Linked DNA regions of Macaca fascicularis. The protein of the gene in region 1 purifies or fractionates together with the protein of each later gene. This does not show direct contact. Links are inferred from orthologs where the notes say so. Each region holds a gene or a part of one and is shown in the gene's direction. Other genes may lie near its edges.

What was found. Proteins that work in one complex are often made in the same cells at the same time.
Region 2: the proteins of HMGXB4 (region 1) and SMARCA5 purify together in Homo sapiens (affinity purification with mass spectrometry; 3 studies listed by BioGRID and IntAct, with this or other methods). This does not show direct contact. The link is inferred for Macaca fascicularis from reciprocal best matches to the Homo sapiens genes HMGXB4 and SMARCA5.

Annotation. Positions count from the first base shown.
Region 1 is NC_088384.1:16,408,400-16,412,054, reverse strand, and holds part of HMGXB4 (HMG domain-containing protein 4), read left to right. Parts: intron 1-1,949; 5' UTR 1,950-2,017; coding exon 2,018-2,048; intron 2,049-2,711; coding exon 2,712-2,860; intron 2,861-3,428; coding exon 3,429-3,507; intron 3,508-3,614; exon of another isoform or gene 3,615-3,655. UniProt on the Homo sapiens protein: Negatively regulates Wnt/beta-catenin signaling during development.
Region 2 is NC_088379.1:148,651,701-148,655,355, forward strand, and holds part of SMARCA5 (SWI/SNF-related matrix-associated actin-dependent regulator of chromatin subfamily A member 5), read left to right. Parts: intron 1-2,637; coding exon 2,638-2,786; intron 2,787-2,979; coding exon 2,980-3,099; intron 3,100-3,655. UniProt on the Homo sapiens protein: ATPase that possesses intrinsic ATP-dependent nucleosome-remodeling activity.

The DNA of each region.
Region 1 (3,655 bases):
CTTTGAGAGGGTATGCTGTTTTCAAATAAATGGATATAATTCCCTATATTTCCCTTGTCCTACCTGCACCCCTTTTGGAGTCAGCACCACTTGGGTGGAAAGGGGAGGACAGTAGTTTCCACTGAGAAACTTTCATCCTTAAATGCTGGAACATGAAAAACTGGCTACATTATGTATCTTGCCTCCTCACATTTTTATCTGAGGCCTGACCTTATGTCCCCTTCGTTTCCTGTGAAAAGGCCCTTCGAACAGGCAGTTCTCCAGTTTATCTTTAAAACAATCCAGTTAATGTAGTTTCATTACTCTAGCTTCTGTTACTTTGACCAAATCCATTCTTTATTTCACTTCTCAGAGAAGTGAAGAAATGCTTTATGTTTCTTTTCTTATAAATCGTTCTTCGTAATGCTTCATTTTCCTATTCAGGCCTACCTGTACATTGTATTTTATCTGATTTGTGCAAATAAGTCTTTTTAATGTAACTTATGAAAGCTTCCCTTGTTAATCAAATTCATCTTTTCTTTCACAAAAGTTCCATGCTTCAGTATTGTCCACAGTTGCCTGAAGGAATTAGTAATGTGTCATTTAAGTGTCCTTCAGTATTTCTAAGTCCCCTTATAATAATGAAGGTCAAATTAAATTTAAATAAATGATCAATTAGATTAACTTTGTAAGCATCTGACTTAACTGGATGAGAACATTGCCAAAATATTTAATATGTAATTTTAAATTTCCTGAAGGACTTGTGACATTACTTGTTCTTAAAACTTTTAAAGAACTTTACCTTGGCTGGGCACGATGGCTCACACCTGTAATCCCAGCACTTTGGGAGGCTGAGGCGGGTGGATCATGAGGTCAAGAGTTCAAGACCAGCCTGGCCAAGATGGTGAAACCCCCATCTCTACTAAAAATACATAAATTAGCTGGGCGTGGTGGCAGGTGCTTGTAATCCCAGCTACTGGGGAGGCTGAGGCAGGAGAATCACTTGAACCTGGGAGGCAGAAGTTGCAGTGTGCCGAAACTGCCACTGCACTCCAGCCTGGGCAACAGAGCAAGACTGTCTCAAAAAAAAAGAAAAAAAAAAAAAAAAACTTACAGTGCATTTTATAGCATTGTTATCGTCAAAGTCAAAATGGACATATAAACTCAAATGCCAAAAAAAGATTGTAAAAATTCAATAAAACTCAATACAATATCTAGAACATTTAAATTATAGCAATTCTTATTAGTGAAGATCTTATTAATCATAAAAGTTTTATGACCAGTGGACAAATGATAAATATCTCCATTTTCACCTAGCCTTTAAGAAAGCCTTGGTGGTGGTGACAGCTGTCACATGGTCAACTGATGTAAGGAGTGTACCTGCTTTTACAATTACATAAATTTGAACAAATTCATGTAACCCCCCCCCAAAATGCAAAAGAAATTATGCTCTAAAGATATTTAATATTCCTATACAGTTAATCATTTCTGTTTAAATTACAATGCAATAGATGTTACCAGTTCACCAATCCAGTTGGTAGGATTTTATGGTCTTCAAATGTTTGGTGTGATCTGTCTTCTCTGCATCTTGCTTTACCTGTGTATTTTATAACCAAGATTGAACCTATCCCTCTAACTTAATGTTGGTTTCTACCCTGTCTCAGTGTTGTCAGTCCTGTTGGCATTTCAGAAATTCTCATTAATTTTGAAAATATTTTTTGTATTGGAGGTATTTTATATACTTCCCCAAATGACAACTTTAATTCATGACTGAAATCTAATTAAGCCTAGTGTACTTCCTGCAGTATCAACCCCACTATATTTACAAAGAGAATGAGGAGGTGACAAGACACTCCTTTATTTCTTGCTGCCCTTCCAGTCGGCCCTTGGATCACTACACATTTCCATCTGGAAGGTTGCTTCTCCTCTGATTTCGCATTACAGGAGGGTTTTCCTTCTTTGTTTCTCAGACCTGGTCCTGTAGACGGGAAGGAGCCTGGACACAGTGACACATTCTCAAAGGCCCTGCAGGACCACCATGGCTTATGATGACTCCGTGAAGAAAGAAGGTATGACCCCATAATCTGAGAAGCATTCCAAAGGGGGTATCCTCTTCAATCCTTGCAGCCCATGGATATAGAGACCAGGACTGGGCACCACAGCCTGGACTCCCAAGTGATGGTCTAGAGCACTGTTATGACACTCAGCCTCCACGCCATCCCCAGACTGGGCCCATGGAAACGAAAACCAGGACAGGGGTTCCAACACGAGAGTCTGAAATATGAGTCTCTTAGTTTATTGGGGTGATCCCCTGCAGCACTCTTGGTCCTTGCCAGCTCCAGTGTGCAGGAGTCTGGGGATAGGAATCACATCCTGGACTCCCACAGAGAGCAGCACAGCACATGAATCATGAATCCTTATTCTTTTCAGCCTTTCGTCTGCAAGTCTGTGTCCACCTACCAAATCACAACTAAGAAATCATATCTGAGGTCGCACATGGGGCCTTTGCATAGCGTGGAAACATTGTTTCTTCAGGTTTGATTCTTGTATTTGCAGCCAGGTCATCAAGAAATATTCTGTTCCCCTGGGTCTAGCCCTGTATTTCAGTGGACTTGATTGAAACATTGTTTTAATTTGGAAATAGAGGAACTGTTGCATTACCTGCATGGTGATTTGGTCGTTACTTACTTGACTTTCTCATTTCCTTTCCCAAATAAACCTGTGCTTCTCAGATTGTTTTGATGGTGATCATACCTTTGAGGACATAGGACTTGCAGCTGGCCGAAGCCAACGAGAGAAAAAACGTTCTTACAAAGATTTTTTAAGGGAAGAGGAAGAAATTGCTGCTCAGGTCAGGAATTCTTCCAAGAAGAAGTTGAAGGTAAGTCCTAAAAATTTAAATTAGGAAAGTCTTAAACTACCTTTTTTTTTTTTTTTTTTTTTCTGATGCAGAGGGTTTTTTTGCTCTTGTGGCCCAGGCTGGAGTGCAGTGGCGTGATCTCTGCTCACTGCAACCTCCACCTTCCGGGTTCAAGCGATTCTCTTGCCTCAGCCTCCCGAGTCGCTGGGATTAACAGGTTCCTGCCACCAAGCCCGGCCAATTTTTGTATTTTATTAGAGACAGGGTTTCACCATGTTGGCCAGGCAGGTCTCAAACTCCTGACCTCAAATGATCCACCTGCCTCAGCCTCCCAAAGTGCTAGGATTACAGGCCTGAACCACTGCACCAGGAAAGTCTTAAACTACTTCTTACCATATTTCCTAATATTTGAAGAAGGAAGTGTTTTTTAATAACTTTAGAAAAGAAAAATAAAATGTTGTGTGCATCTGTTTTTATTATTTCTTGTGCTTTGTTTCCCAAAGTCAGAAATCATCAAAGACAAGAGTGGTTCCAAACTGCATTTGCCTCATCATCTTATTATTGGTCAATTCTTCTTCTTTAATTATAGGATAGCGAACTTTACTTCTTGGGGACGGACACACACAAGAAGAAGAGGAAGCACTCCTCTGATGATTACTACTATGGAGGTGAGGATGGGAATGGGCAACAGGTGGGATAAACACATCGCTGGTTCTTGGAGTCGGGGTAGGGGAAAGGGATCCAGATGTTGCTGACTCAGTGGCCTATTTAACAGGACAGTGGTTCTTGTTCTGAGTGCCGATAAACCAGTGTGAA
Region 2 (3,655 bases), on another chromosome or scaffold:
TCTGATATTCAGTGTGGTGGTTAATGATTTATATGTACTAATTACTCTTGATTACTGTGGGGAATACTGAAGAAATAAAAATCAAAGAGCCTGATTTTATTCTTTTTTCTTGTCTGCAACTTATTGAGTACCCACCAGATGCTAGGCACTGTTCTTGGTGTTGAGAATTCAGTGGTAAATGGAACATTCAAGTATTCTTACTTTAAAAGAGTTTACAATTTAGTTGGGAGGGCAGATGAAGTAAACAAGGTATAAGTAGGAGTAGGGGGTGAGAGTGGGATTTTATTTTGAATCGATTGAAGGAAACTTAAGTTCTCATTCCAGATCAACTTTTAAGGATGACATAGTTTATGTTTTCATGAAACTTACTGTAAAGTTGATGATGGGAAATATAAAATTCAAGAAAAGGGGTGGGAAACTTAATAACTTCAAATGTTCATTAGTTTCCTTTGTAACTGCATTGTGAGCATATATTTACTATCTGTCTAAAAAGCTGAAAGGCATATTGTTACATTGTTTACTGATTATGTAGGTGTCTTGATTTTGTCAGTCTCTTATTTCCATGTAAGAGAGTATTTTTCATGTCTTTGGTATCCCTAATGCTATTGCATACCTAAAGACAATAAATTATTGCTTATTTTTACAAATTGTTTCCGTTAATAAAGTGTTTACTTTGTGCCAGGCAGTGTGAACATTTCATTTTCTCCTTTAGTCTTCATGCCAACTTGAGATGTTAGCATCAGAGGTAAAGGCTTTTGAGAGGTTAAATTACTTGTTCATTGTACATACAGCTGGGAAGTGACTCAAGGGGACCAAGAACTTTGTTAACTATTAAGTATTTAATTAGGAAGGCCTTTGGGGGCTTCTCGAGGCTACCAACCCATGAGGTTATCTCATGGGTGATAAAATGGCTAATGTTTTATTTTTCTTCACACATCTGTGTGTTTTGAAAAACACCTGCCATGTGCTTCTTGTTCTCAGTTATTTTCATCCATTAAACACTTTTTTTTGAGGTGGAGTTTTGCTCTTGTTACTCAGGCTGGAGTGCAATGGCACGATCTTGGCTCACTGCAACCTCCACTTCCTGGGTTCAAGCAATTCTCCTGCCTCAGCCTCCTGAGTAGCTGGGTTTACAGATGCCCACCACCAGTGGTGCTTGGCTAATTTTTTTGTATTTTTAGTAGAGACAGGGTTTCACTTTGTTGGCCAGGCTGGTCTCAAACTCCTGACCTCAGGTGATCCACCTCAGCCTCCCAAAGTGCTGGATTACAGGTGTGAGCCACCACGCCTGTCTGAAACACTTTTTTTTTAAAGATTAAAAAACCTTAATTGATTCATAAATTTAGAAATCTTGAGGTTTTTTACTTCATATTTACTGTGGCAATTTTTGGAGCAAACCTTCAGGCTAATAGCTTTCTTGTGCCATTTGTAGACATGTTAGTCAAACAGCAAGCCTTAAGTACATACCTCTGTGTTACTGTTTTTTATTTGAGGAACATAATTGAAAATGAGAGTACACAAGCACTTTACATCTGAAGGTTCCCTCTCTGCCCAACTTGGAAGTAGCTTGTATAAGCATGAGACCATTTTGGTAGCAATGGCAGCATCCAATCCAAAGAAACGTACTTTCTGGATATTGCCTCACTTTCAAAGTCACAGATGTTTGGTTGTATATTCTGTTATGGGCCCCAAACCATGATACAAGTATTTAAAGAAGTTGTTGAAAACTTGGATCTTTTTCCACTTAATTACAAGTTGGTTGGCGTATAAAAATCAAAGCTTTGTTTAGATGTATGTGAGTGACCCTTGAGGTGGGTGAAAACAAGTCTTTCTGGGTTTTTGTTTTTGTTTTTATGTCTGTATTTTTGAAAACACAAATTACAAGGTTGTCCAAATTCCTGCCAACTGAAAATCTTTAGTAATTTATTAATGATGAGTTTCTTTGATGATCCAGATACATTTTCTCACCAGGTGTGGTAGTGCATGCCTTTAGTCCTAGCTACTTGGGAAGCTGAGATAGGAGGATGGCTTGAGCAGGGAGTTGAAGGCTGCAGTGACTATGGTCCTGTCATTGCACTCCAGCCTAAGCAACAGAGCAAGACTGCATCTCAAAGAAATAAACAAATAAAATAAGTTTTTAGGAGTTCCAGTTCTTCTGGAAGTTTTCTTTAAAAAGAAACTGATGTTACATATTTCAGTTCTGTGTAAAGTTTGGCCTGTGGGAAGGATTTTTCACTTTTCTAAGGAGAAAAAGCTGATTTGAGGAGTATTAGTAATAACACCTTTCTGCTCATCAGAAACTTGTGTAATACATAATGCTTCCATCTGTTGAAACTTGTAGGTTTTTGAAAACTTCATCATATGCAGCTTTCACAAAAGATATTTCATTGACACAGTATACAGTAGGGTTCATTATATAATATATCAGCTTTAGGAATGTTTTGTAGCTTACCAACTGAAAATTTGGCATTAAATTTAGTGCAAAAATGAAAATTATCAGATGTGAATAAACAGTAAACAGAAATGATTGACATTTGAGACAGAATTATAAGGCATTAAACCTTACATTTAGAATTTCAAGTTTCCAGTAAAATAAAGTCTGTTCAGTTAACATTATACAACACAATCTTTTTTCAGGGAGGCTTGTGGATCAGAATCTGAACAAAATTGGGAAAGATGAAATGCTTCAAATGATTAGACATGGGGCAACACATGTGTTTGCTTCAAAGGAAAGTGAGATCACTGATGAAGATATTGATGGTATTTTGGAAAGAGGTGCAAAGAAGGTGAGATGTAGATTAAATAATGCTTTTAATATAGAATGTTTTAGACCAGAAACAGGAAATATTTGTTACATTGATAAATAATTTTATTTCCCTAACAAAAAAGCTTTTGTGTACCTGAAGTTAATTTATTTTGACTGCAGGTTTCATGCTTTCTTTGTTGTGAATCTAAGAAGTTGATTGTTTTGTTCTCTAGACTGCAGAGATGAATGAAAAGCTCTCCAAGATGGGCGAAAGCTCACTTAGAAACTTTACAATGGATACAGAGTCGAGTGTTTATAACTTCGAAGGAGAAGACTATAGGGAAAAACAAAAGGTAATTTAGAAATAGGTTTGGGTTACATGAAAGCTTTATTTTACTGGAAACCTGGAATTTTAAGTGTTACTGTAATGTCTTGTAATTTTGCTTAAAACAGCAGTCATTTTTGCTTATTCACATCTGAATATTTTCATCATTATGTAAAATTTAATGCCAGTTTTTCAGTTGGGAAGCTCTGAAATATTTTTAAAGTTTTTGTAATGAAGTTTGTGGTGTATGTTTACAGTGAAATATATTCTTGTATGAGATGAATAGTAATGTGGGATGGCAACCTGATTCATTTTATTTTAAACAGCAGAAGTGGCTGGTAATAAACGGAAAATTTTCCTAACTTCGTAAGTAATACTTGGTAATATAGAGATAAATTGAAAAATACCGATAGAGTATAAGAAAAAAATAATTCTACCCAATGTTTTTCGTGTTAACATTTAGGTCTATATCTTCAGAATTTTTTCTAGGCTAATTTGTGTCTACACTTTTCTCCTAGTTTAGATTTATACGAAACAGTCAGTAGCGTTTCTCCCTCATTTAACAGTTGTTCCTTTAAGCAAGA